Tamandua tetradactyla: one gene and its partner. The protein of the gene in region 2 purifies or fractionates together with the protein of the main gene of each other region. This does not show direct contact. Links are inferred from orthologs where the notes say so. Each region holds a gene or a part of one and is shown on either strand. Other genes may lie near its edges. The genes, in order: MPHOSPH6 and EXOSC7.

Region 1 (3,914 bases), on a different chromosome or scaffold from region 2:
TTTATGGTATAATATACAGGATTTCTCATTCTCTTTCAAAAATATGGAAAGGATAGAGCACTCTTAAATACAAATCAAGAAACTCCAGACTTTGGTTACAATTTAATTCTTCCTACTCTACAGCATCTGAGAACACACTCTGAAAGTTAGAGATGACCTACAGCAGGGGTCACAAACTATAGCCACCAGTTTTTGTAAATAAAGCATTACTGGAATATAGCCATGTGCTTATGGTTCTCAGTACAATGGCAGAACTGAGTAGTTGCAGGAAAGATAGTACAACCTGCAAGCTGTACTTCAAGGGCCAACCCCTATGAAGTTTGTAGATTCTTAAGGGCAAAACAGTTAAAATCACAAAGTAAAAGCCCTCTCTACAACCAAATCATCATACTGACAGACCTTCCAACAACATCCTTCATTTTCAACTTCCCAACAGGCTCTCTCCTCACCTCGCAATAGCTGACAGAGTTAGAGTTTTCAAGCACTGTTTGTTGTTCAAACAAGGATTAAAACTTCAATTCTCTTATTCCTGTTCTGTACTTGGCACTGGCTGAACTATACTGTATATAGTAGCCTAAGTCTATAGCTGCTCCATTCATTCTCACAGGACATTCCACTCCCATGTGTTTAGTGTCTCCTGCTAATCCTGTAAATTCCTTCCTGCTAATCCTGTAAATTCCTTCGGACCATAAACTGAACTTGCTAACCCAAACTGAGAACATTTTATTCATTCTCCTTCTTCTTTTTTTGTTTCACATTTGCTTCCAACATTCAGCTAAGTCTCCAACCCCAATCATTAGGGTGAGGGTGGGCATTTTTTTTTTTTTGGCAATTGTTTTTTAAAGTTAATTTCTTCCTTCCTAGTTCCAGAATCAGCTTTTCTGTCTGGAACCTAAAATCACTCAGCACATATCCATTTGGCTTATTACAAGAGGGAAAATAACAGCTAAAATCTTTTCAATCCCCTGCTGTGGATGCATGTCACTTCTCTGAAGTCTACATGATTACAAACCATTAAACAAGAAGAAAATTCTACTCACTAAAATTTCAAATTTTGCTAATATGCCTGAAAGCAGTACATCAGAACAAAATAATTCTACAATTTACCCTCTACCCTCACCCACCCTATTCATCCCTAGTTGCATCCTCCCCTAGTCATACCCTCACTCCAGCTCCATTTGAATCTTGTACACACAATGCTTACTCTCTGATCTTTTAAACATTACTTATTTCTTATTTTCCTTTTGCTAGAAATTCCACCAGACCCTCTAAACATTTAACAGTTTGCATATCTCTATAAGTAGTGTTCACCAATAGGCAGTGTAGTCATTATGAAGTGGGGTTCTAGAACGAAATTTGTCTGTGTTAAGAGTCCTGTCTGCACTACTTCTTAGCCTGTGTATTTGGCAAGCTACTTCTGTTTCAATTGCTTCAGCTGAAAAAAAAAGATAATAACCATAGTTAACTCAGAGTTATTACAGGGATTAAATGGGTTACTACATGCAAAATACCCAGAACAAGTTTTTGTTTTACGATTTGGCTGTTTTCCTTGTCTTAATTCCTATATACATTATATTTACCCTTGTCTCCCCTCACCTCCTCTTCACTTCGAAACTATAGAGTTAAACTGCTTCCAATCTCAAATACAAAAACAATTTTTCTTAAAATTCGGTGAGATAACAATTCACTTGCACCTCAACTATAATAGTTCTCTCCATTCGCACCTTACTCAGGGCATCATCTACCCTCACTGGGATCATCAGAACTTCTAACTGGCTTACTGACTTCAATTTTGTTCATGATACGGCCTTCCTTCCACCAAAGCATTCTCCACTGAAGAGTCAAAACTAACATTAAAGTAAATAAAAGTACAATGCACAGCAAATGACTGACCCTGGTGCTCGACAGCTTTTCGCTGCTCTTAAGATAAAGGTAACAATCCTTCGTTTGGCCCCAAATGCCCTGCACCCTGTGACCACTGTCTACTTTTCCAACCTCATTTCCTGCTACTTTCTTTCCAGTCATACTAAATTGTTTTCAGTTCTTGAAAATCTCCATGCTTGTTTTATTTTTTTTTTTTCTTTTAACAGCTTTTTAGACTGTAACACGCCCTTCACTCAGCTGACGCTCCTATGTTCCCCATATGGCCCCTGCCACAACTTATCCTTCAGCCTCAGCCTAAGGGCTAGTTTCCGCGAGATGCTTTCTTTGAAGCTGAGTCCAGGTGAGGTCCCAGAGCTCCGCGCTCCACCACGAGTGCTCCCGGCACGCTGTATTCTAACCACTCGTGTACGTGTCCCCGCTCCTAGTTCATAACCCGGTATGCCTAATACGGAGACGGCTCAAAATGAAAGAATGAACGCGAAAGTTGGAGGCCCTCCGGGCCCTCTCTGGTGCCCCTGTGCGCCCGCCGCTTCGGCCCCAGCCTGGCCCGGAAGACCGGCTGCCCCACCGCCCCGCCCGGCCCAGCCCGGCCCGTGCCACCGCACCTTCATGCGCAGCAGATTCTTGGACAACTTGCTCTTCTGCTCGGCCGCCATGCCAACCTCCCATCCGGCGCCGCGTTCCAGCCTTCAGCCCTGCCGCGCATGCGTGCTGCTGCGTGCGTCGTGGCGTCATACGTGACGCTAGATCGCCTGCCCCGTGGCCCCGGCCCGCTGCCTCAGCTGGGCTTGGCGCCCGAGGGAGCTGACGAGGCTGCTGTGGGCTGCCGACGCGGAGTTCTAGTGGACTTAGCGCCCGTAGAGAGACCCCAGATCAGAGTAGACCGAGAGCTGATGGCCACCTTCTCCGCCAGCTTCCCGTCCCTGGTCCCCCAGGCGCGCGTGGAGTGTGTGCCTCTCGGGGGCCCCGCTTCAGGCATTCCAGTGAGCATTTGCGATTGTTGCCAGACCTGCCTTCTCATCTGGATCGCGGCTTCTTACGTAATAATTCAGTTCGTATTCACAGTAGCCCCGCGTGGCGGTTCTCTCATCCTCGCCTTGTTGCAGTTGTGTAAAATATAGGGCACTTCCTTAATGAGCCCAAATTAAGAATGAAGGAGGGGGCCTGTAAATCCAGGCAGTCTGGTTCAGCAGGACTCTTAACCACCAAGCTACAAATCGGTGAAAAACCATGTTACATTCACCTATTAACTGCGTCTTTGTGCTTAAGTGATCTCTTTGTTATCTAAGAAGGATGTCCTGTCCCAATCCAGCACAACCCAAAGACCAGAGACCACCCTTGGCAGAGAGTTAGGCTTGGGTTTATTGGGATTTACTAACAGGAGATCTGTCCACACGGTGGCCGTCTGGAAAGTGAAAGTCTGTGCTCCCTAAGGGGCCTGGAGTGCAAGGGGTCAGCTTATAAGGGTTTAAAACAGAGACATTCTATAGGGCTTGAGACCAGAGTTCGGCAGGGTTGTGACACAGGGGTCTGGAGTCTTATCATCAGTAGTGGTCAAGGAAGGGGAGTTTTAATCCTTTGTTTATGATATCATCTATACTCCCCTGCACCACCTCCCCGGGAGGTTTAATGACCTCTTACTTCTGTCTGGGTCATTGTAGGCTGCTCCCTGTAGTCACTGATTCTCAATATGGAAGAGGTGGGGCAGGGCCCTGTGTCTCCGCAATCCATTCCCACTCAGCAAACCAGGTTGACCACAGCACAGATATTGCATCCATGTTCCACAGCAAAAGTGTAACAGACACAGAATAGGTGTCCCCCATACAGAGATAACCCCACAAAGAGATGCTGCCATGGCCAAGAAAAGGAAGTAAACCATTTAGACAGGGGGTCTACTGATAATTGAGCAATATTATGCTCTTGCATATGATTCCGAACTTGTGAAATATTGTGTGAATGATCCGAAATACATGTGCAACATTGCACGTTAATTAAGGCACGGGTGCCGCCTTGTGCTACAGTGAGAATAT
Region 2 (3,914 bases):
GGGCTTTGCAATCAATCACACAAATCTGGGTTTAAATCCTCACTCCACCACTCACTTACCTTGTGACCTTGAGCAAGTGACTTAACCTCTGAGATCACTTCCTCATTTATAAAATACAGCTAATGATATTTACCTTCAGAATAGTTGTTTAGATGCAATGATAAAAACTATGATACAATATGCACCTAAAAAAGAGTGGGTATGCACCTAAAAAAGAGTGGGCGAGCATACTGGTCTTCAAAGGCTAATTGGGGCCTTAAGAGAAAGCAATCAAATCATATATCAAAATAGTGATTTATCAAACTTTCCTTTTGCCCTACCCTCACCTCCTCAGATCCATTTTGTCTTTCTCTGCCCTAATCTGTGTACTAGTAGGTTAACCCCTTCCAAAATGTATCACCCAGACTCCCTAGATGCCTTCTTGTTGGGTTTGGTCGAAGGGCTCCCTAGGCCTTAGGGATATCATACAAACAAATCAACAGATGATTACACATCAAGACCCATGATGGGAGACTGGCTGAGGCTCTATGACCCTATGATGTGGTTTCTGCCCAACTCTGTAAGCCAATCTTCCACCATTACTCCCAGCTCATTCCTGTGGCTCCATGCTTCCTCCACCTGAGGTACTGGGGACTCACCATCCCACCCCCTGGAATGTTTATGCTACTGCCTAACTGGCAGTCACCCTGAAAGCTCAGCTCAAAAGCCATTTCTTCAGGGAAATCTGAAGAGACTAGATGAGTTCTCAGGTTTTTCCTTCATAGCACTCAATACAATTTTTAATGAAACATAAACACACAACTAGATTTGAAATTTCTTTATCTTACTTCTAGCATGTGAACAATATAAGGGCAAGCTCCTTCCTATCTCCCAAGTCAGGTTAAGCTATGTGTTAAATGAAAGAATAAATACTGAGTGCTGTAGAAACATATCTGCCATGGATTTAGGGAAGCAAATCCTCTGTCTTAAGGATGTCTTCCAGAGCACTACAGCCTCCAGTAATCTTCAGTTCCTTTTTTGACTTACACTCCCTCGGTATGTATCTTATGGCATATACCTTATATGCCATTGTCTATACGTTATTCATTTTTCCTGTCTTACCTATCTTTCATTTATGCATTTCACAAATATTTTAGTGCCCCTACTGCTTCTCACATAATATGCCACAGGCTGGATATTCAATAATGAAAAATAAACAACTAATTTTGCCCAAACTAGATCCTGAGCATCTCAAGGGCCAGAAACATAGCTTGTATTTTTTTTTACTTCTTCACAGCACTGAGCACATAATAGATGTGTAATAAAATGGGTCCTTAATATACTGCCGGATAGCTAATGAGTTGCCATTGGAACTTAGGACATGATCTGTCTAGCCTTGGGAGGTAACAGACAAGGAACCTATGTCCCTTGGTCCCACTGTCAGAAATGGAATGTGAGAAAAAATGGACTGCACAGTGAAATCAATATTTCATGACTGTGGTAGCAAAGAAAGAAATAAAAAGGATTTTACATTTAGAGGCAAATTGTTATCCTTAATGCCTCCCCAAGAAGCATCTCTGAGAATAAAAATCACATGAAGAATGGCACAAAATTAAGACAGAAGGATAAATTTAATAGCTCTGTGAGGATTTATATATCCCGCCCCCAAACAAATAACACACACATATCCCACTATTTCTGATCTGAAGCATAAACTTAAAAGCACATGGAACTGTTGACTCTATTATTCAGATTTAATATGTAACCTGTAAGCCAAATGTTGACATTTCTTCATCTATAACAACCGAGGATAACAGCACGGCACAATTTCAAAAAGATCATGAGCTTTATTCACCGTTGTGGACCTTTAACGATAGCTGATCATAGCTGATCGCTTAACCTGATGGCCACACCACGGGACCATTAACTTTGTAGTAGCAGGCCTCGGCTCAGGAAGGGAAGGGGAAGGGGCTGACACCAGAACTCTGCAAAGAGTGGGATGAAGAACTTGGACGGGAGGGCTGCACAGTGACATAACAAATGGGGAAACAGCCAAAGTGGGAACTGAGGTGGCTCATTACCAAGTCCAAAGTCCTCCAGTCCTCTGGAGTGGTCAAAAGCAGGTGTTGATGAATGAACACAGAAGATGCCTGGTTCTAACTGTTTCTAGGGATTTTAGCTCTCCACTGGCAAAATGGGAAACAGCAACAATTATGCTATCGATTTAAAGAGCCGCTTTATAAACCTAAATATTCCTCCCCTTTATTCGCAAGACACTTATATTTTCAAAGCGCATTCACCTAGGGTGCACGCTCTCTCTGTGCCTCCCAACTACTAGGTGAGGAAAAGTGGGCCAGGAACCCCCCACTGTGGAGGGCCAGGAGCAATCAATCAGGCCCAAGCAGGGAAAGTCCCCACAACATTGGGGCAGAATGTCCCCAAGAGTTTAACAATAACCAATGTTAGGAAACTGAGAGAACAGGATATGTTTTGGCAACAGCTAACGGCATTTTTCTGCTTCTGTGATATGCCTGCCTGCTAGCAACTGCAAAACCACAACAAGATTTTAGCCTTTATAAGCACACCTTGAAAACCCCCGGGTGCTGCTCTCTCAATCTTCCTCCTTGGAAGTTTCTGAGGCAGTCGCTGGCTGGCTAATAAAGACTCCAAATTCGCTTGCAGTTTCGAATTATGCGGTCTCTCTTTCAGTGTGCTCCACAACACCCACCCCCACGTATCCATTTCCTATAGGAGAAATCTAAGGCCCAGTCACGGAAAGTGACATGCGAAGGCCAAAGAGATGGTCCCGGGAGTAGTGCTCCTTCACTAAAAGCAAGTCTCCGGGAGCGCCCACCGGTTCCCACCTGGGCTCAGAACCATGTAGACCTGAAAACCGGCAAGAACGCAAACAGTCCTAAACGGATCACCAGTCCTAAAAAAGCCTACGTTGCAGGCTCTAGGTTGCAAAGACCGGCCGCAGAGCCACTTAATGACAAGGTAAGCCAAACCCGCGGCAGCTGAGTTAATCTCCTTCCGGGTAGGCCAACGGAACCTGGCGGCCGTCCCCCGACGCCACTACTGCAGATACCTGGACGCCATGCACAACATACACCTTCTCTGCCTCACTCAACGACACGAACGCCATGCTGCCGACTGCACTGCGCGAGATACGTCACCAGCCCGCGCCAACTCCGCGCGGATCGCACCCTCCCCGCGCTTTTGCGTCATCAACCTGCGCGGCGGCCCCTCCTGCAGCCGCTGCTGCCGCCGCCGTAGCTGCCGGGAGCTCGATGGGCTTCACCTGCGCGCTGTCCGGTAACTGGCGGAGTCCAGGGAGCTGTGGCACTTCGAGGCGTGGAGCCATCGCCGCAGCCCGTAAAAGAGTCCCGGGTGTGGGACTCCAGGGAGAGGCGACGGCGGCGACGGACGGAACCCCCCGGGGGCCTGGGACTGGGAAACTGCCACCGGCTTCACGGTCAGTTGGGAGGGGGCGGGGGTTGGAGTGAAGAAGCTGGGATGAGGCGAGGGCGCGGGCAGGGACCAGGAGACTCGCAGTGGGAGAGGCGCACGGCGTGGTTGGCCCAGAGCTGGAGTTGAAGTAGCAGGTTGTGTGTGTGAGAGAGAGAGACAGACCCCTAGTCTGGAAAGCTGGGCGTCGTAATTGGCCCGGGGCTGTCTCCTTGCTGTCCTTTCCTTTCTCCCCATCCTCAGTTCCATTTCCCCGGCCCCTAGAATGGTTAAGAGGCAATGAATCCTTCTTTAGATGGTTCTCAGTGGGTAGGGTTGATAGTGGAAGACATTAGTCCTGAGAGATCCTCACTCTATCTCACCATCACCCCCACGGGGACAGAATGCTAACCTAGAACTTTGCAGGGTCCCCTTGCTCTGGGCGATCGCCAAACCATTGTCTCATAGAGAGTAGTGGGGAGGCAACC

Evidence for each region.
Region 1: the proteins of EXOSC7 (region 2) and MPHOSPH6 purify together in Homo sapiens (affinity purification with mass spectrometry; 4 studies listed by BioGRID and IntAct, counting the BioPlex papers as one, with this or other methods). This does not show direct contact. The link is inferred for Tamandua tetradactyla from reciprocal best matches to the Homo sapiens genes EXOSC7 and MPHOSPH6.

Annotation. Positions count from the first base shown.
Region 1 is NC_135342.1:76,860,188-76,864,101, forward strand, and holds the start of MPHOSPH6 (M-phase phosphoprotein 6), read right to left. Parts: upstream 2,589-3,914; 5' UTR 2,541-2,588; coding exon 2,490-2,540; intron 1,660-2,489; exon of another isoform or gene 1,162-1,659; intron 1-1,161. Other genes in the region: uncharacterized protein LOC143659822, read left to right, coding at 2,589-2,924. UniProt on the Homo sapiens protein: RNA-binding protein that associates with the RNA exosome complex. Involved in the 3'-processing of the 7S pre-RNA to the mature 5.8S rRNA and play a role in recruiting the RNA exosome complex to pre-rRNA; this function may include C1D.
Region 2 is NC_135341.1:41,896,926-41,900,839, forward strand, and holds the start of EXOSC7 (exosome complex component RRP42), read right to left. Parts: upstream 3,176-3,914; 5' UTR 3,125-3,175; coding exon 3,068-3,124; intron 1-3,067. UniProt on the Homo sapiens protein: Non-catalytic component of the RNA exosome complex which has 3'->5' exoribonuclease activity and participates in a multitude of cellular RNA processing and degradation events.